2 linked regions of the Callithrix jacchus genome follow. The protein of the gene in region 1 interacts with the protein of each later gene in a pairwise test. Links are inferred from orthologs where the notes say so. Each region holds a gene or a part of one and is shown in the gene's direction. Other genes may lie near its edges.

Evidence for each region. The genes of interacting proteins can lie anywhere in the genome.
Region 2: the proteins of TMEM218 (region 1) and PCNA interact in binary tests that used the Homo sapiens proteins (3 or more experiments, as listed by UniProt). The link is inferred for Callithrix jacchus from reciprocal best matches to the Homo sapiens genes TMEM218 and PCNA.

The regions. Positions count from the first base shown.
Region 1 is NC_133511.1:24,700,013-24,710,780, reverse strand, and holds TMEM218 (transmembrane protein 218), read left to right. Parts: upstream 1-3,988; 5' UTR 3,989-4,066; coding exon 4,067-4,176; intron 4,177-4,810; coding exon 4,811-4,888; intron 4,889-5,028; coding exon 5,029-5,131; intron 5,132-8,284; coding exon 8,285-8,419; 3' UTR 8,420-10,425; downstream 10,426-10,768. UniProt on the Homo sapiens protein: May be involved in ciliary biogenesis or function.
Region 2 is NC_133506.1:12,556,120-12,566,758, reverse strand, and holds the start of PCNA (proliferating cell nuclear antigen), read left to right. Parts: upstream 1-5,382; 5' UTR 5,383-5,524; intron 5,525-7,977; exon of another isoform or gene 7,978-8,130; intron 8,131-10,255; exon of another isoform or gene 10,256-10,378; intron 10,379-10,639. UniProt on the Homo sapiens protein: Auxiliary protein of DNA polymerase delta and epsilon, is involved in the control of eukaryotic DNA replication by increasing the polymerase's processibility during elongation of the leading strand.

The DNA.
Region 1 (10,768 bases):
TCTGTCATCTTTTCATGCTGATTCTTTCCTAAACGTGCATGTGCGGAGTACTTCTTTCATAAAGCCCTTCTCACTATTGTAATTCCCACTGCACCTCACTTTTACCATTAGTCAGAATATAATGTGGACAGTTGTTTTCAGGACAATGTTCTCCGATAGACCGTGAGCTTCTGTCAGAAGATATCTTATTCACCTTTGGCGTCCCCAGCTTATAGCACAGTGCTGTATATGGCAGGCACATCATAAATGTTGATTCAATAAATGTATTTTTTTTTTTTTTTTAGGGAGAAAGAGAAAGAAAAAGAGGGAAAAAAGAGGGAAAAAGAGGAAAAAAAGAGGGAAAAAGAGAAAAAGAGGGAAAAAGAAATATTACTTCATTCCTAAAATGGGTATCAATAATGGCTGATCAATATTTTGTGTGTTTAAAGTGGATAATGTATATTTTGTGTGTTTAAAATGGAGAGCTCTATTGAATTTATTTGTTCTGGTTCTGAGTTCAAGTCCTGGATATCATTATCAATTTTCTGTCTCGTTGAATCTAAATCTCATTATGGGTCTTATGTATCTGGGTGTTAAGATCTCTTATTATTACATTAATCCTTTTACCCTTGTATCCTTGTAGCTTTGAAATCTATTTTATTAATTGTGAGAATTGCAACTCCTGCTTTTTATTTATTTGTTTTTGCTCTCCATTTGGTTGGTAAGTTTTTTTCCAACCCTTTATTTTGAGTCTTTGTATATCTTTAGATATACCGTTAGATTTTGTCTGTATCTTTTGATTGGGGGATTTAGTCGATTTAAATTTAGGGTTACTGCCATTTGATATTAACTGGCTATTTTATCCTTTTGTTGATGTAAATTCTTCTTTATGTTAATGCTTTTTACTTTTTGGTATATTTTTAGAAAGGCTCATACTGGTTGTTCCTTTCTATGTATAATACTTCTTTTAGAAGTTCTTGTAAAGCAGGCCTCGTGATAGTAAAATCTCTAAGTACTTGCTTGTTCCTGAAAGATTTTATTTTTCCTTCAATTGTAAAGCTTAAATTGGCAGGATATGAAATTCTGGGCTGAAAGTTCTGTTCTTTAAGTATATTGAATATTGGCCCCCACTCTCTTCTAGCTTGTAGGGTTTCCGCTGAGAGATCTGCTGTAAGCCTAATAGGCTTCCCTTTATGGGTAACCTGATCTTTCCCTCTGGCTGCCCTTAATATTTTCTCCTTCGTTTAGATCCTGGTGAATCTAACAATTATGTGCCTTGGGGTTGGTCTTCTTGAGGAATATCTTTGTAGTATTCTCTGTATTGCCTGGGGTTGAATAGTGTCCTGCTTTGCTAAGTTGGGAAAATTTTCCTGGATAATGTCCTGAAAAGTATTTTCCAGCTTGAATTCATTCTCTCCGTCACATTCAGGTACACCGATCAAACGTATATTAGGTCTTTTCACATAGTCCCATATTTCTTGGAGACTTTGCTCATTCCTTTGTATCTTTTTTTCTCTATTCTTGTCTTATCGTTTTATTTCATTAAGTTGGTCTTCAACCTCTTATATCCTTTCTTCTGCTTGATCCATTAGGCTATTTAAGCTTGTACATATTTCGCTAAGTTCTCGTGTTGTATTTTTCAACTCCGTAAGTTCATTTGTATTCCTCTCTATATTGTCTATTCTTTTCATCATTTCATCGAACCTTTTTTCAAAGTTCTTAGTTTCTTTACATTGGGTTAGAACAAGTTCCTTTAACTCCCAGAAGTTTCTTATCATCCACCTTTTAAAGCCTACTTCAGATAATGGAACACAGTCCTTTTCCATCAGGACTTGTTTTGTTGCTGATGAGTCCTTTTCCACCAGGGCTTGTTCGGTTGCTGATGAGTCCTTTTCCATCAGGGCTTGTTCCGTTGCTGATGGGTTCTGATTTCGAGTATACTCGGCCTTCTTAGGCTGTTTTTTTCCCTTCATTGTAGATGAACCGCCTTTCTAATTAGGTTTCTGAGTCGAAGTCCGACTTATTGATTCCCAGTGCTGGGATCCGAGCAACCCACTGTGGCAGCCTAAATAGCAGCGATAAGACTGATGGTGCTCTTCTGCCCGGGAATCTCTGGTCTGGCTTCCCTCTTGAGTCTGCAACAAGCAGCTCTGATTTCCTGGAGCTCCTAACTCCGGTCAGTAGGGGAAGCAGTCCCGTTTACTCTGCATGAAGAGCTGCTGCGCCGAGAAGCCGGCAAAACCGCTGCTGCGGCCACAAGAGTCGCGCTGGCGACCCGTGGGGCTCCTCCACTGGGAATCAGCTGATCCGTGAGTGACGAAAATTCGTCTAAAAGTGTGGTGTCGTCTCGTTCTCTGAGCTTTCACTGGGAGCTACAATCCCGAGTTGTTAGTGATCAGCCATCTTGGATCGGTCTCAATAAATGTATTTTTTTAAGCAGTTCATGCTTAGACCCTCCTTTTCAATAACTTTATAACCTCTCATAGATAATATTTTCATGGTATTTAAACCATGAGGGTAAAGAAAACCAGCAACCCAGAGGAATGTGTTTGCTTAAGACTTGTCTCCAATGCTGAAAAGGAAAACCAGGGAGGTAGTGTAATGTGCTGTTATTCTGCTGTGAGTTGAATGGTGGTCCCAAAAAATATATGTCCATATCCTCACCCCTAGAATCTGTGACTGTGACCGTATTTGACAAAAGGGTCTTTGCAGATTTATTTAAGATAATACTAGATTATTTGTACAGACCCTAAATCCAATGACAAGTACTCTTATAAGAGACAGAAAAGGCAAAGACAGACACAGGGGAATGCCATGGGAAGATGGAGGCAGAGACTGGAGTTGTAGTTAAAAGCCAATGAGCAGTGCCTGGAACCACCAGAAGCTGGAAGAGGCAGAGAAGGATTCTCCTCTAGAGCAGCCGTCCCCAACCTTTTTGGCACCAGGGACTGGTTTCATGGAAGCAGTTTCATACAGGGAAATGCAGGGGGATGGTTTCAGGATGAAACTGTTCACCTCAGATCTTCAGGCATTAGATTCTTATAAGGAACATGCAACCTAGATCCTTCGCATGTGCGGTTCACAATAGGGTTCATGCTCCTATGAGAATCTAATGCCACCACTGATATGACAGGAGGCGGAGCTCAGGCAGTAATGCTGGCTTGCCTGCTGCTCACCTCCTGCTGTGAGACCTGGTTCCTAACAGGCCACGGACCATGACTGGTTCATGGCTCAGGGGTTGGGAACCCTTGCCCTAGAGCCTTTGGAGGGAGTACAACCCTCCTGACACCTTTATTTTGGATTTCTGGCTTCTAGAACTGTGAGTGAATATGTTTTGAGCTGCTAATTAGGAAACTAATACATACCCCATTGCGCTTATATCTCACTTACCCATTCTGTAACATGGATATAGTAATACCTCTCTCAGAAGCTTAGCACCAGAATTAAATGAGGTATGTTTGTATGGTACTTAGCACATAGTAAGTGTTCAAAAATAGTGATGGCTGTTCCTCTTCTCTAAGGACTAAGGGTTTTCTTCTTCTTGAATAAGAACTCAACAATAGAGTGGGAATTATCTGTGATTGATTGCTTGGTGAGTCAAAGCTCACACCATGGATTTAACTGGAGAGCTTCAATTTCTGTTTTGGCCCTGAAGCTCCCATTCCCTGGTGTCTTCTAGCAGTTCTTAGTTAAAGTTTTGTATCAAGAGAGGGTTCAGCTTTCTCCCATGGGCGGGGGGAAGAAGTCAAAGTAGAGCTCATGTACCAAATTTGAAGGGAAACACTCAGAAAAAACTTCTGAGTGCACAGCAGAAATCACCCTCTCAGTCCCCGCCAAAGACAAAGGCTTTGGGTTCTACATTTCTAGTTTCCATTAAGGGATTCTGGGACTGGACATTTTTGAAAATTAATGACCTGTACTGAGTAATCCTCCTAACACAGTGATCATCAAAAAATTCCCTGTAATGAGTTTAGGCTTTCTCTGAATGCCTTCATGGGAGTGTGCAGCAGGAAGACCGCACTGGAGCACTGAGGACACTTGATCGTGCGGCGTGCAGGGTACGGAGCCCCCGCTGCCTCCCTGCAGGATGACTGGCACTGTGCTTGGAGTCGGTGTGGGTGTCTTCATCTTGGCCCTGCTCTGGGTGTCAGTGCTGCTGCTGTGTGTGCTGCTGTCCAGAGCCTCCGGGGCAGCGAGGTAAGGCATTCTTTCCAGCTGGGAGTCCTAGGTAAAGCAATTAGAGGCAAAATTGCTGATGCTCATTAAACATTTAGAATTTAAGAGATCAGTTTGTAATTACTGGCAGTTTGAATGAGTTGCATTTTAACCTCTTTTTATAAGCACAAACCGTGTTATTTATGCTCTGAAGCAGAGATGGGAGGAGAAGGAAGTGGTGTTCTTGAGTTCTAACTGTGGAGGAGATGGGGGACACAAGAGATGACAAGAAATTCTGCTTTCACTGCTTATTGAATTTCTCAAGGTTGTACACATGTATGTTTCTGAATTGTTCAGATTTATGGCAGATGCTTGGTCTAGTCCCCAAGGCTCTAGCCCTGGACCCAGGAAAGCTAAAGCAGCATTTGATGAGTTGGGCCTGCTTCCTTTATCAGGTGTTGCCTTCAGAACAGGGTTAGGCCATAAACCAACTCTGAAAACACTGTAGAGTTGCCTCTGGCAAGGTAGTGTTAGCATGAAGCAGAGAGTTGTAGAATTTTCTAAGTATTCTGTTCTAAAAATAACAGAAGTGGAAAGGGAGAGGGGATGCTTTGGTTTTTCTTGATTATGCATTTGGGCAGAAGTAAAAATCAAAACTACAAATTTTCATTCTTAGGAAATGGGAATTACTAAGAATAAGCAGGAATGCACCCAGCTGGTACCTGTCTAGGAAGAAGGACTTTGAGATGAAGAGGTTGTGGACAGCAGATCTCTGGGCATTGTTAAGGCACTGAAATATAGAATATTGGCCCCAAGAAAGAGACTGTCCAGACCTAACTGATCAGAGAAGAAACTGTAAACAGTGCTTTTAATAATTTGTCTTTTTGACCCCAGGTTCTCTGTCATTTTTTTATTCTTTGGTGCTGTGATCCTCACATCAGTTCTGTTGCTTTTCCCACGAGCTGATGAATTCCCAGCCCCAGAGGTGGAAGTTAAGGTAAAGCTGTTGGTTTCGTTTTGCCTCCTGAGCTGTAACTCTTACTTCTCTTGGTCTGCACGTCTACTCTGCCCTCGATGCTCCCTGACATTGGGCTGCCTGAGATGTCAGAATTGTAAAGTTCAACCAATGATGGGGAAAGTTCAGAGGGAGTTTAAAGTTTCTCTGCCCCTTCACTAAGGAAAAGAATCTAACTCTGAATTCCTCCTGCAACCCCACCAGGCAGTTATTTGCCTGATTTGGTCTCAACTCTAGTTTGCATCAGGTTGAAAACAGCCTGTTGGAAAGCCACCTCATACCATGGGGACCGAGAAAGAGAAAATGAAGTAGGGATAGTCACAGGCCTGCACTTGAGATGGAAGTGTTCCCATTCCTGGCAGCCTGGGCTCCTCACCTCAGATCCTGGGCTGAAGTTGATGCAGTGCCCTGAGGGTGCAAAGGACATGTGCTAGAATTTTCCTAACAGTTTTCTGGGAGTTCTTTCGTCCTCATGCCTGGGACCATACCTGCCAGCACCCAGAATTTAAAAATTCTTTAAATGAATTTTGATTATCTCTCTCCTAGTCCTTCTCTGGAGTTGTGGTTCATTCCTGATTTGGGGCTCCAGCTTTACCATGTATGGCTGGTCCCAGACCCATGGGATCTTCGCAATGGCTTTGACCTCTTCTGTCCCATTACTCCTCACAGCTTTCCTCTCAACCTTCATTTCAATATTTTAAGTAATGATCATGAAAATAGCTAACATTCTTTAAGGGATTTCTATGTGTCAGGTCCTGTGCCAAACACCTTGTTTGCACTGTCTCATTTAAACCTCAGGACAGCCCTAAGTAGTAGGACGTAGGTGCCATTATTATCCTCATTTTACAATAAGAATACTGAGCCTGTAAGAGGTTAAGGTAACTTGGTCAAGGTCACATAGCAAAAGGCAGAGCAAGGATTCAAGCTGAGGTCCGTCTTCAAAATCTTCATTGTTCAGAACCTAATAGAATATCTGGGGCTGTCCCAGAGAGCTCATTAGCATTTTGACACTAGCCAACAACAGTACACAAGGTTATACATGTAACTTTTGAACTAAAATTGACACTCTAGGATTAACCATGGAAAGAGGAAGGGAATTCATTCTGAAAATTCCAAGGGAAATAGTACTTAACAGACTTAAGAAACTGTTTCCAAGGACGCCAGTTTGTTGTCAGCATTTGGAAAACACTCTGGAGGTGTGAGTGCCACGTATGTGAGCCAGGGGTAAATTCCCACCTCATTTTCCTTGTCTTTGAAGGGGGAGAGTGAAGTAGGCTGCCACATTTCTGGATGCCGCCGACATAAACACTGGGAGAAGGGCAGAGAGCAAACACATTTTTAAATCCAATCCCTCGATTCTCTGCCATGCAAGTTTCAGACCCAGGAGAGAAGAATGGGGTTTGAGCAAAATACGTTTGTCAGCATGGCCAGCAGAATTGGAGTTCTCATTTTCAGGGTTTGAGAGCCGGCCTCTGCAGCAGCCTGGCTCAGTGCTATATCAATAATACATGGCCTGGGCCTTCTGCACCCAAGGCCTGCTAATTGGCTAATTAAAAAGTGAAACCTGTCGTACGAGCAAACATGTGGCCCACAAGAGACTTGTTCAGTACTGGAGCCAAGGTCAAAGTTATGTTAAAGCTGTTTTATCAAACTGACCTTTGTTGTAAGTTGACTATTGGGGTAATCTCTGGAGCAGCTGAGGTGTCTTTGGATCTCAGTGATCCTACCAGGGCTCGGGTCTAATAGGTGTTTTGCATATGGCTGCTGTATTAGTTTTCCATTGCTGCTGTAACAAATTACTGCAAACTTATGGCTCACAACACAGATTTATATCTTACAGTTCTGTAGGTTAGAGTCCAAAATCAGCCTCATTGGGCCAAAAGCAAGGGGTTGGCGGAGCTGCATTCTTTCTGGAGGTTCTAGGGGAGAGTCCATTTCCTTATCCTTTCTAGCTTCTAGAGGCTGCTCATATTCCTTGGCTCACAGTCCCCTTTCTCCATCTTCAGAGCCAGCAACATCATCCCTCACTGACCACTTCAGTTCTCACCTCTCTTGCTCTGACCCTGTCTTCCACCTCTGTATTCAACTTGGAAGGATCCTTGTGATTACACTGGGTCCACCTGGATTGGATAATCTAGGCTAATCCTATTTTAAGGACAGCTGTTGGCAATCTTAATTCTCCTTTAACATATAATCTAACATGTTCGCAATTTCTGGAGATTAGGATGTGGCTATCTTTGAGCCATTATTCTGCCTGCCACAGTTGCCTTTCAGGTGTTTTGGATTCTCTCCTAGGTACTGGGATTTCAAAGCTTCTGTGAAGTCAGTCAGCCACCTGGTTTGTGTTATTGCTCTAATAGGTCTGTAGATTAAATTGCTTTTCCTATCCAAATATAAGCACCACCATTTGGATCTAGGGAGAGTAGAGCTCTGGCAGGGGACAGCGGACAAGTGGGTAGAGCCAACACCAGTTATAGGTTTTTGTCAGCAAAGACCAACATCTTTGGGGCCTCAAGTGTAAGGCCAAGCGGCCCACTGTCTGATTTGGGGCAAGTTACCTATCCTCTTAGTGTTTTAGTATCTCAGGCAAGTGGCCATTTTCCTTCCCCTTGGCAAGGGACTCTTCTGCTGATCGCTTTAAAGAGTTCTCTTTAATTTCGAAAATGAACCCTCCTGAAATGGCAATGGATTGATGATTTTGGGAGTTGGGTCCTCGACATGGGGGGTTATTATACGATTGTATTTTTATGTATGTTTAAAATTCTCTGTAATAAAATGTGTTTTAACAACAACAAAAATGAGCTTTTCTAGGACCAAGCAAAAGCTTCTCATTAACTCTTTCAGACAGTGGATTTCAGAATATAATTCATCCAGGGACTTCAAAGTGTTTACCAACCTCCTAAATTGAGTCATTTGTTCCCTGTACCTCATTAATCCCTACTTGACCTGTGTCTCCTGCTCAGGGAGTTGAGGAAAAGATTCTTTTTTATCCATGTGAAGAGGAGACTCAGGGCAGGATGTTATTGGGAGTTACAAACATGAACAAACTCTTGGCCCATTCACCACAGAGTTCAGGTTAACCCAGCCAGAGTGCGTAAGTGGTAGTAATTTCATTTTGATGTTTTCTTTCTCCAGATTGTGGATGACTTTTTCATTGGCCGCTATGTCCTGCTGGCTTTCCTTAGCGCCATCTTCCTTGGAGGCCTCTTCTTGGTTTTAATCCATCATATTCTGGAGCCCATCTATGCCAAACCACTGCGCTCCTACTGAACACTCTTCAGGAAAATGAAAACCTGTTCTCTTCTTCATTGTGATGACATTGATGAGCAGAAAGGCACTATTCAGAGCCCTTGTTTTGACAGCCCTCGTGCCTTAAGATTAGAGGAGTATCCGTCCATCACTAAGACAAATCTCTTGAGTCCTGGCTTCCAGAAACAGAATTGCCAAATTGTCTCTGTGGGGCTAGATTCTCACCAGCTTAAGAAGGATATTGCTGTCTTTTTAGTATTCGTATCTTAGGATTTCCGACTGTTTTGAAAGGGAAATAGTAATGATGATCTGCTTAGAGTGGATTTCCAGCCAAGTCCTTAGTAAGTGGATTTTGGGGAAAAGACCTCATTGGCTTCTGGTTCTTTTTGATAATATATAAAATTCTTCATTAGGAGGTTGCAGTCATTTGCAAAGGAAAGGCACTCAAATTCAAAAGGTTATTTAATGTGATAATTTGGAAGACTTGCTCAAATGTTGGTCATTGACCACTCTGTGCATATATTTCCACAGAGCTCTATAAAGGCAATGAGTATCACTTCCCTCTGCTCTAATAAAGCAATAAACAATAGCTAAAGGGCTGACTTTCACTTTGAAATTTTGGCCACAGCTTTTTGAATCAAGTATCTTTAGGTTTCCTTGGGATTAGAGGAAAGATATGGAAATATCTTTTTCTTTTGTTTTTGTTTTTTGTCCTCCTATGTATCTGCAGGGTTTTTTTCTTTCATGATGGGGTGGGCTCTGTGTGCCTTACTTAATTACCATGAGTTCATTTTTGGGGGTCTTCTCTTTTCATCTTTGTAGCCCTTTCTCCAAAGCTAGTGAGGAAGGTATATTCTTAACATTAGATATAACTCTATACCTGTCTGATCTCCCAGACCAAGTGAAATTTGCATTTAATGGAGGGGCTCTGGTCAGGTTCCACTTTGGAAGTCTGATCCTGACTCTCTAGAGCCATTTGAAAAAGAGTCTTCTGTCTTAAAATTAAGAACCAAGAAAACAAGTTGGAAGGAGAACACTGATGGAGTACATGCTCTATGCTAGTAGCACACTAATTTCTTTGAGGTTTAATTTATTTAATTTTTACAACAGTCTCATTTTTATCATCCCCACTTTAAAGTAGAAAAAAGTGAAGCTTCAAGAGATTAACTGACTTGCCCAAGCTTCATCTAACAGCCAGCTAGCAAACCCAGGTGTGGTAGCCCCCAGGGCTTGTCTCGGAAAGAAAATACACTATGCTTTGTGGAACTCTGATTGAGAGCCTGAGGTAAGTTAAGGCCACTACTCCTTCACTTTCTCTCCTCGATCCTGTTTTCCCAGTAGAGAGGGTACCCAGTCCTGCCACCCCAGAGGCAGCTAAGCTCTAAATTCCAAGAGGAGAGAACAGGTAATCGTTGAGAGTTATGGGCTGGTGAGGGCCAGGTATAGTTAGCCCTACGTTGAACAGTCTTTTTTATCTTATTTTGGAAAAACTTCGCAGATAAGGCTTTGTACAGAAAGCTTCAAAGAAAATAGTTTCCTAATCTGGCCTAGGGCACACAGGGAAGAAAAGAAGAAACATCTTCTAAACAGACTGAGGAAAAGAAAAAAGAATGCATGCATCTTGAGGGAAGTGAGACAAGCTGGGGCCCTCATGCTATTGTGCTTCTCTGTGAGTCTCCATCCAGCCCAAGTGGAAGCTTGGCTCCTAACAAACCCAGGGTGCCAATTGTTACCTTCTTCTGAGAGCCTTGCTGAGAAAGTAACTCTGGGAAAAGTATTATAGGTTCCTGACCATCTTTTTCATTCTCCGAAAAGATTACTCAACTATTAGATCAATGCATAATAACTATGAGATTTTGGGTGACTATTTAGATGGGGGAAAGTGTATTAAGGTTGGAAACTAAATTATATCCTTAATACTACTGTTTTCAAATGGGGTTTTTTTTTTTTTTGTATGATGTAAATGACAGGCTTATATGTTAAGGACTGGCTTTAGGCAAAAAAAAATATACTTTGTGCAAAGTTTATTTCCGCTTGACCTACCGTCTACAGACCTAGAGTCTATAATTACCAGCTGTGGTGAAATGAATGATAGATTTCTTTCTACCTTCATACTCAAAGCAGTTATGCAAAAAAAAAAAAAAAAAACCTGAGGGATTGGGATAAGACATAGAAGGCTGAGAGGGCTCAAATTGAATTTCACTGAGAGTTTGGCGTGGAACAACCCTATAGTCAATTTCTGGTATGGCACCCTGTATGCTCGTAGCCTTCTTGGAGATAGGGCTCAGAGGTCATTCCTTAAATACAGACAGAAGTCATCTCAGTGTTCCAGAACCATTCTTTGATCAGTGACCTTAAAGCATGTTCCTG
Region 2 (10,639 bases), on another chromosome or scaffold:
TTTAGAAAAACTAACTTGAAATAGTCAAAAACCATGAAGTAATTGAGTTTTTAAAATAAAATCACACTGAACAACAAAAATATAAGACATATAAGATACTGAGTTATATGACAAAATAATCTTTCACCTCCTCTCCCTGTTAAGCCTGGGAATCATAGTTAAGGTTTACTGATATTTCAACTCCCAAATTATTTCTCAAAATAAAAACATTCTCTTGAAAAAAATTAAGCATTTCTCCTACACCTGAAGTAGTTATAGTTCTTTAATATTTTATTTCAGTAGTTCAATCTCAAAGTCTATTGAAAACCATTTTTAGTTATAAAAGAAGACAATTACATACAGCAATGTTCAGTGGTCCTACAGCTAAAGTTTGATTGTGATTTGGAGTACTGAAAAATTCAGCAAGAAAATAAACTGAAAAGATAGGTCATAGAAGGCTAAGTCCTTTTTATAAAACTTTCCTTAGAAGATAATTAATATGAATAGACTCTACAAATACATATAACTTGAAGATTTAATCACCTTCTAAGAGTGTAAGATGAATATTAAAGTTTTTTCCTATAAAAATCTATTTTAACCAGTAGCAACAATAGCTAACATTACAATGTGACAAGCTCTGCTGCCCATACATACATTTAATTCACATGAATAGCCTGTGAAGCACACACAATTTTATCACCCCCATATTAATGATGGACAAACTGAGGCTGCCACAGCTTCGGTGATCTGCTCAAAGTCACACAGCCTCTATGTGGCAGAGCCCAGGCTCAAGGCAGATGTAACTGACTCAAGCCCCTGCTTTTAAACACTATCTTCAGTTAAAATTTAAACTCCCCTTTCTAAATGACGTCACTCTTTCCTCTCTATATGGGTTTCACCTATCTAGAAAGGAAGCCTTGAAATAAGTAAAGCTCTAATTTAAAAAGCACCTCGGATCGCTTCTCAGCCTTTTGGCTAAGATCAGATACTACACGCGCTCTGAGCCAAAATGTTCTTTCTTTTTAAAGAAGAAGGCTGTGGGAAAACAAAATATTGTCCTCGGATAGAGGACGTATCAGATATTAAACTGATAAGCAGGACAATATGTTAATGGATTTTTGGAGTAGGGAGATGGATTCTTTTTTTTTAAAAATAAAAATAGATATAAAAATAAAAAAATAGCACCTCGGGAAATAAGTGAAGCAGAAAACCCCAGAACCTTTACTCTAACTTACAAAACAAAATCTCCTGAAATGATAACTCAGTTATAAATTTTAAGATGCCAATCTTTCAGCCACATCTCATCCTTCCCTTTCCTAAGCTCCATCGTAAAAATACATTTGGGCAGGACAAGGATCATTCCCAAAGCCTAAACTCCAACTTTCTTAGATTGGCAACTATACTGTGCCTTGGGACTTTAAAATTATAAGCAGAGTTCCCAGAGGAGAACATTTCCTTTATTAGCAATTGGCTTTGAAAATTCCATTCTCAGATGCTAAATATAACAAAATACCTTCTGATTTTTTTTTTTTTTTTTTTTTTTTGAGATGAAGTCTCACTCTGTTGCCCAGACTAGAGTGCAGTGGCGTGATCCTGGCTCAGTACAACCTCCGTCTCCCGGGTTCAAGCAATTCTCCTGCCTCAGCCTCCCAAGTAGCTGGGACTACAGGCATGCGCCTCCATGCCTGGCTAATTTTTTGTATTTTTAGTAGAGACGGGGTTTCTCTGTGTTAGCTAGGATGGTCTCCATCTACTGACCTTGTGAACCACCCACCTTGGCCTCTCAAAATGCTGGGATTACAGGTGTGAACCACCACACCCAGCCTATGACTTTTATAAATAAACATTCTCCAGATTATTTTGATACTAATGATTATCTATTTACAAGAAAGTTTTGCCACTGGCAGTTAAGCAACTGTAACATTTTGAAGAATCTTTCAAATTTATTCCAGAGCTTTTAAAGCACTGACTTGAAAATTGTTTACTGGATTCTTCTACTATGAAATAAAAAAAGTTCTCATTTCCTTAAAAAGACAACCTGTTTTATTATTTCTAATTTCCCTGGGTTCTAACACAAGAATATTGGCAAAGCCAAAGTCATGGAAGTAGGCTTTTCCCAAACTATGAAACAGAATAAATCAGGATTTTTGAAAAAGTTTACTATGGGCCTGGCGCGGTGGCTCACACCTATAATCCCAGCACTTTGGGAGGCCGAGGCAGGTGGATCACGAGGTCAAGAGATCAAGACCATCTTGGTCAACATTGTGAAACCCCATCTCTACTAAAAATACAAAAAATTAGCTGGGCATGGTGGTGTGTGCCTGTAATCCCAGCTACTCAGGAGGCTGAGGCAGGAGAATTGCCTGAACCCAGGAGGCAGAGGTTGCAGTGAGCCGAGATAGCACCATTGCACTCTAGCCTGGGTAACAAGAGCGAAACTCTGTCTCAAAAAAAAAAAACAGTTTACTATGGGCCAGCTGCAGTGGCTCACACCTGTAATCTCAGCACTTTGGGAGCCAAGGTGGGTGGATTACCTGAGGTCAGGAGTTCAAGATCAACCTGTACAACATGGTGAAACACCATCTCTACTATAAATAAAAAAAAATTAGCAGGGCGTGGTGGCAGGTGCTGTAATCCCAGGTACTGAGGAGGCTGAGGCGGAGGTTGTAGTAAGCTGAGATTGCACCATTGTGCTCCAGTCTGGGCCACAAGAGCAAAACTCTGCCTCAAAAAACAGAAAAGAAAAGAAAAAAGTTTACTATATACATTCAAAGACAAGTAATAGATTTCACACCTTTTAAAACGTGCCCTTATTAAAAATCCCATGCATGACAATTCAGAAGTTCTGGAGGATGTGGTGAGGGACTGATTGCCTTGTTCTGGGTAATGAGTATCAGTGTGCATAGCAGCTGTCTTTTAGGGACCTCATGACCCCAGGCATTATGTCACTGCATAAGTGATGTAAGTGCACCTTCAGCTGGACAGCTCCTCATGTCCTCCCTACTGAAAGTAGGGGATGTGAAAGTAAGACCAACAGGCACTTTATCTCTGGGGATGGATCCAAGGAGTCCAGAAAGGGCAGAATCTTTATGTTCCATCTCACAACCCCATCGTTGTTTTTTTTGACATTCTAACTATTGTACATAGTCAGCTTTTCAAAAACATGGCCTACCAGCTTTCATGCCTTCTTTCTTCTCCCTCTTCTCATACCTTCTAGGTCCACAATGTCCCAGTGACATCAAGTATGATCTCACCTTAAACAGAGCCTCCAAACATCTGCATACTCACCAACTAGCAGTAACAAGGTAAGTCACAATTCTTTCAGGCTGAACCAGAAGAGCCCACTGAAAAATTAGAGACTTCAAAGTCTCTTGTCTCTGCAAGCAACTGCTAAATCCTTAGCCCTAGCCCTAAATTGTCTCCAAAATATGTTTTTTTTGTTTTTGTTTTTTGAGACAGGATCTCAAACTCCTGGGCTCAAGCGATCCTCCTGCCTCAGCCTCCCTAGTAGCTAGGATTACAGTTGTTCAGCACTGTGCCTGGCCAAAATACATTTTCTAAAATTCAGTATGAACAGTTTTCTTTGGATGGTCCACTGTCAATTGCAATAACACAAAAGTTGATTTTAAAAAAAACAACCATTATCTTTCACCCAAAACATTCCTCCTAGTGTAATTGATCTGTTGACATCCTGTCACCAGATCTTGTGCTTTCTTCCTTCTTGGTGTCTCCCTAATGTCCCTTTCTTCCAGTTATCAAAAAGTTACAGGCTGCATTAGAAGAAGCCATGAGCCTGGGTGTAAGGCAACAGGAATTGGTGGGAACAGATGATCCTCAGCTCCAGCCAATCATTAATCAGGTGAGAAAATGATGGTGGACCCTCCAATTATCTAAGGCAAGAAACTTAGATTGTTAGGAGAAATTTTCTGATTTTTAAGGCAACATGTGGGCCAAAGAAAACATCTACAGGTCACCCATGGGCAATCCCCAAGTGAACCAGTCTCCCTCATTCTAGTCCAAGCTCCCTCAATCCATTCTACACATCACTGCCAGATCAGTTTTCCAAATACAGGACTCCTGACCACTGCTATCTCGGAAAGCACAACTACAACTACAAAGTCCTATGCTGCCATTCAATGTCCACAGTAATACAACTACTCCCTACCTTCCTCAACTCCCCTACACAGACCTTTCACTTCACCCAAAGGAATCTACTCCCACACCCGTCACCCCCCAGCCGCTGTCCCCGCCAAGATGGCCTCCTTCCTACTCTCCTCCCCTACTCACCAGAACCCATACGGCACAGGAAACAACCCATCAACTGGGAGGACTCCCTCCAACACCTGCTGATGACGGGGTGGCTCACTGCGTAACACACCTCTCTGCTCAAAGCCGATGATTTCCTGTCCAAGAAGGGATTTACATATGCCAGGAGGCAAATGCTATGGCCTTGTCCCGATTCCGACACCCCCCAAAATAATAACATTGCAAAAGGGAACGGAGAGCCTAAGTCGCGGTCAGAGGAGCCGCCTATCTGAGAAAGCTCTGCACATCTTCACCTCCAGGAAGGCCTCAGGGAGGTAGGGGGAGAGGGGGGTCCCGCAGTCAGCCCAGCGAGGCAGGAGGCCGTGCGCCACTCCAGGCGAGCTCCTTCCTGCGCCCCAGGGGAGCCACTCCAGCCAGACCCTGAGCCGGGACTCCGACCCGCCAACCCTTGACATGCGCGCAGCAAAGGCTAGGCACCCGAGGACCCATCGCGCTGCCCGGGGCCGCCGTCCGCCACGACAAGGGATCAGAGGACTAGAGGACCCCCCTGCGCGCGTCCCCACCGGGCCTCCTGGATGCGCCGCTGTCCCGGCCGCGCCCACCCCGAGGCTGCCGCTACCTTGTCCTCGGGCGGCGCATCCGGCTCGTGGGCCACCCTCTGCCTCAGCTCGGTCATCCTGGAAAAACCTGCCCGACGTCGCCGCGGGCGAGCAGCGCAGCAGCCAGGAAAGGCAGCTCAGCGCGGGCACGCGCGGACTCCCTCGGCCGGCCCCGCCCCGCCCGGGAGTCGCGCGGCTCCGAACAGCTCACAGTTCCCTTAGCAGCCCAGCAGCCAGCCCTGGAGCTCGGCCCCGCCCAGCGCCGTCACGGCCCTTTCACCCGGGCGGAGCAGGGTCTGCCTTCCCTGGCCCCGGCCCGCGAGCTCCTCCTCCCCGGAGGCGGGCTCGGAGCGAGTGCGCACGCGCAGCGCCGCCATCACGACCCGAAAGATCGACCAACGGCGCAAATACGCCAGGGACAGGGAGACGGGGGCGGGGCGGAGCAGAGTTGAGAGGCTCGCATTGGACGGCAGCGTCAGGGGCGGGAATAGGCGTGCGTTTCAGAGTCCGATTAGCCAATGGGAGCTCCTGCTTCAATGCAGATGGCTGAAGCTGGCGCCCTGGTTCTGGAGGTAACGGATTACCGACGGCGAGAGGCGCCACCCGGAGGCTCTAGCCTGACAAATACTTGCTGACCTGGGCTCTGAGCCCGCAGCAGCAAGGGCTCTTTCTTCACGCAAGTAAGTAGACGTTATTTAGGCCGAATGGAGAGGCCAGGTGAGCCGACCTGATTAAAAGCATTATCGCTTATCACATGATGAGAAGTGGAACCCACACTTCAATCTGCCTTGCTTTGCCAAGCGGTCTCTAGTACTTGTTGAGCGCTAACTGTATACTAGGCACTGAGCTGGGTAATCGCTTTAGTTGGCTTATCTCATTTAATCCACACATGGCTTGGAAGTGAGTATGATTTGCATTTTGCAGTTGAGATCTTCCTCAGTTTATTTATTTATTTATTATTGAGACAGAGTCTCGCTCTGTCGCCCACTATCTCAGCTCACTGCAGCCTCCTCCTCCCGGGTTCAAGCAATTCTGTCTCAGCCTTCCGAGGAGCCGGGACTACAGGCGCTCGCCACCACGCCCGGCCAATTTTTGTATTTTTAGTAGAGACAGGGTTTCACCATATCAGGCTGGTCTTGAACTGCTGACTTCAGATGATCCGCCCATCTTGGCCTCCCAAAGTGTTGGGATTACAGGCGTGAGCCACTGCACCGAGCCCTTCCTCACTTTCTAAAATTTGTCTTCTGGACTATGGAAAGGCTCAATAATTTTGAGCCAGGCTGGCCAACATAGTGAAACCCCATCGCTACCAGAAATACAAAAATTAGCTGGCCATGGTGGCGGGAGCCTGTAATCTCAGCTACTCAGATGGCTGAGGCAGGAGAATCGCTTGAACCTGGGAGGCAGAGGTTCCAGTGTGCGGAGGTCACGCCACTTGCACTCCAGCCTAGGTGACAGAGTGACATTCCATCTCAAACAAAAAATGATTTACTTTGACGGCTGCTAAAATTATTGATGGAGGGGCCATCCTAAAGTAACTAAATTTCTGGGGGAGGGCCAAGTGGAATAGGCTTTTTTAAAGCTCCCCAGGTGAGTCTAGAGTGCAGCCAGGATTGAGAATAATTCTGATACATATTACCTTATGAAGAAATTTGCCAGATACTACATAAAATAATTTATAGCATTTTCTCCCAGTATTCATTTTCTGACCAATACATTTTTACTGAAAAAAGTATAGAAAATACAGAAAATGCAAGAAAAATTTAAAATTATTTGTGGCACCATCAGCCAGATAATTACTGTTCATATTTATCTTCTTGCTTTTCCATTCCATTTACTGTACACATACACCCAGATATAACAATTTGAGAAAATTGGAATACCTTTGTTTATTCTGCTTCATAACGTGATTTTTCTCTTTATTAAGCTCTTTGCAAATCGTACGTTAGAGGCTAAACAATATTCCATCTTACAGATTTATCACAATTTACCTAACAAATGCAAACACTGTTAGACCTTAAGGTTATGTCCAATTTCTGGGGGAATTATTAATAATTCTGTAAGAGGCCAGGCACGGTGGCTCATGTCTGTAACCCCAGCACTTTGGGAGGCAAAGGTGGGAGGATCATTTGAGCCCAAGAGTTTGAGACCAGCCTAGGCAATATGGTGAAACCCTATCTCTCCAAAATATTAGCTGGGCTTGGTGGTGTTCACCTGTAGTCCCAGCCACTTGGAAGGCTGAGGTGGGAGGATCACCTGAGCCCAGGTCAAAGCTGTGGTGAGGTGAGCTCATGCTACTGTACCTCAGCCTGGATGACAAAGTGAGAACCTTTCTCAAAAATAATAATCATCGGGCGGGGCATGGTGGCTCACACCTGTAATCCCAGCACTTTAGGAGGCTGTGGCGGGCAGATCACAAGATCAAGACCATCCTGACCTACATGGTGAAACCCCGACTCTACTAAAACATTCAAAAATTAGCTAGGCATGGTGGCACACACCTGTAGTTCCAGCTACTCGAGAGGCTGAGGCAGGAGAATTGCTTGAACCCGGGAGGCAGAGGTTGCAGTGATCTGAGATGGCACCACTGCACGCCAGCCTGGTGACAGAGCAAGACTCCATCTCCAAAAAAAAAAAAAAATTGTCAGTCATCATCATCATTCTGTAAGAAACATTTTTTTTTTTTTTTTGAAACATAGTCTTGCCCTGTTGCCCAGGCTGGAGGGGAGTGTCGCAATTTTGGTTCACTGTAACCTCTGCCTCCCAGGTTCAAGCAATTTGTGCCTCAGCCTCCCAAGTAGCTGGGATTACAGGTGTGTGCCACCACACCCAGCTAATTTTTGTATTTTCAGTAGAGACAGAGATTCACTTTGTTGATCAGGCTGGTCTGGAACTCCTGACCTCAAGTAATCTGCCCACCTTGGCCTCCCAAAGTGCTGGGATTACAGGTGTGTGCCACTGTGCCCAGCTGCTTTTATTATTTTCTAATAGTTTAATATCTGATCAAAATTTACTTAATTGATTCTTTACTGATTCAATAGTACATTTACTAGATGTTAAAGTATCCTCTTAAAATGTAAATTGGATCATATCAAAGACCTGCTGTTGACAACGTTCGCTTGCACTTTTACAGAGCCTACAAAGTCCTGCAAGAGTTCACCCCAGCCTCTCTGCAACCTCACCGAAACCTCACCTTGCACCACTCTTACTCCAGATGCAACCTCACCTTGCACCACTCTAGCACTTAGTCTGAGTGCTACATCTAACTTGTCTGAATATATTCCAAGTATGCTGACCTTTATTTTTTTATTTTATTTTATTTTTTTTGAGACGGAGTTTTTGCTCTTGTTACCCAGGCTGGAGTGCAATGGAGCGATCTCGGCTCACTGCAACCTCCGCTTCCTGGGTTCAGGCAATTCTCCTGCCTCAGCCTCCTGAGTAGCTGGGATTACAGGCACGCGCCACCATGCCCAGCTAATTTTTTGTATTTTTAGTAGAGATGGGGTTTCACCATGTTGACCAGGATTGTCTCGATCTCTTGACCTTGTGATCCACCCGCTTCGGCCTCCCAAAGTGCTGGGATTACAAGCTTGAGCCACCACTCCCGGCCTATGCTGACCTTTATAATCATGCTATTCTCTCAGCCTAGAATGCTTTTCTTCCAACTCTCCAAACAGCTGTCTTCTCTGACAAGATGCTATCTTCTCAGAGAGGCCTTCTCTGACCACAGTCAGAGGCATGTTTATGTCCTCATTTCAATTTAACATGAGTTTAACACAACCGTACACCTCTTTATCATTCGACATTTTTAGGAACACATCACTTCTAAAATAGCAAAAATAATTCATCTACATTGTAAGTCCCACATGGGTAGAATTTAATTGACATTTAAAATGCCGTCAAATCTATTACACTGTGATTTGGCATTAAACCAAAATGTTATTATGTAAGCAGACAGGACTGAAACAGAGTAGTGGAGCATATGCATTTGTTTTTAGTGAAGCAAATGTTCCTCACTGGAGGAATGAACACATTCCACATTTTGTGAGATTTTAAGGGACCCAAGAAAGGAAAATACCCACAAACAGATGATGCTGTATTATGTTTTGATATTGAGATGCATGCAAATGGGTTGTCCATCACACATAAAGCAAGAAAGTGCCAACATCAAACTTACAAATGGGTAGGAGAGGCTTGCAAGAAATTCTTCGAGAGACAATAGAATAGCACTATTGAAAAATGCTGCATCATCAACACCCTTAACAACACAGGGTACAATATTATACAGAAAAACAGCAGTATCAGCAACTGAGTGGAAAAACAGTAGAAATGCCTTAACCAATATAGCTTACATTTTTTCTTGTATGCACAAGAGTAATAAGAATGTGTTTAAAGTCTAAAAGTTCTTTTAAAACAAATTAGAAATTCTAAGTGATAAAGCATTGTGTAACAGTTTGAGGCTGGGTGCAGTGGCTCATGCCTGTAATCGCACACTTGGGGAGGCTTAGTGGGAAGATCGTGTGAGCCCAGGAGTTGGAGCCCAGACCGACATAGTGGGACCTCCTCTCTACAAAAAAATTTAGAAGGCCAGGCACGGTGGCTCACGCCTATAATCCCAGCACTTTGGGAGGCAGAGGCGGGTGGATCACGAGGTCAAGAGACCGAGACCATCCTGGTCAACAAGGTGAAACCCCGTCTCTACTAAAAATACAAAAATTAGCTGGGCGTGGTGGTGCGCGCCTGTAGTCCCAGCTACTCGGGAGGCTGAGCCCGGAGAGTCACTTGAATCCAAAAGGCGGATTCCGGCCTGGTGACAGAGCAAGACTCCATCTAAAAAAAAAAAATTTTTTTTTGAGACGCAGTTTCGCTGTTATTACCCAGACTGGAGTGCAACGGCCGCCCGATCTCGGCTCACCGCAACCTCCATCTCCTGGGTTCAAGCCACTCTCCCGCCTCAGCCTCCCGAGTAGCTGGGACTACAGGCGCGCACCACCACGCCCAGCTAATTTTTGTATTTTTAGTAGAGACGGGGTTTCACCTTGTTGACCAGGATGGTCTCAGTCTCTTGATCTCGTGATCCGCCCGCCTCTGCCTCCCAAAGTGCTGGGATTATAGGCGTGAGCCACCGCGCCTGGCCCAAAAAAAAAGTTTTAAACTTAGCCAGGTGCAGTGGTGCACATCTGTAGCCCTAGCTACTTGGGAGGCTATGGCAGGAGGATACCTCAAGCCTAGAAGTTGGAGGTGGCAGTGAGCAGTGATCATGCCCCTGCACTCCAGCCTGGGTGTCAAAGGGAAACCCCCTTTCTAAAAAAAATAGTAAATAATAGTTTGACAGTTTTCTTTCCTGTGCTACATAAAATGATGGTACGTATTACACTTGAAGGCATCTTAAAATAGAACTGCCTTTTCCTGTTCCCTTTCAAGGCTGACCCAGTGCTTTAAGAGGCTGACACAGAAGGGTAAAGTTAAGGCTCCACAAAACCCAGGAAAGAGACTGTGAAACTCCTCTTAGAATCCTGTCTGAAGTCACAGCTGAACTAGGGGGGAAAAAAAAAAGACATTCCAGAGATAAAGAATAGACTAAGGAGAGGAGATATTTGAAGCCATAATGAATGAGAAAATGTCAGACGTGAAATGCATCTGCAGTTCCCTGAACAAGATAAATAAAACTAAATCCATACCTAGACACATGGCAGAAAAACTAAGGAGTTCTACTGACCAAGATGTTAAAAGCAACTAAAGAGAAAATGGTGTAAACAGAGCAAGACAGAAACAACAAACCCCGTAACAATTCC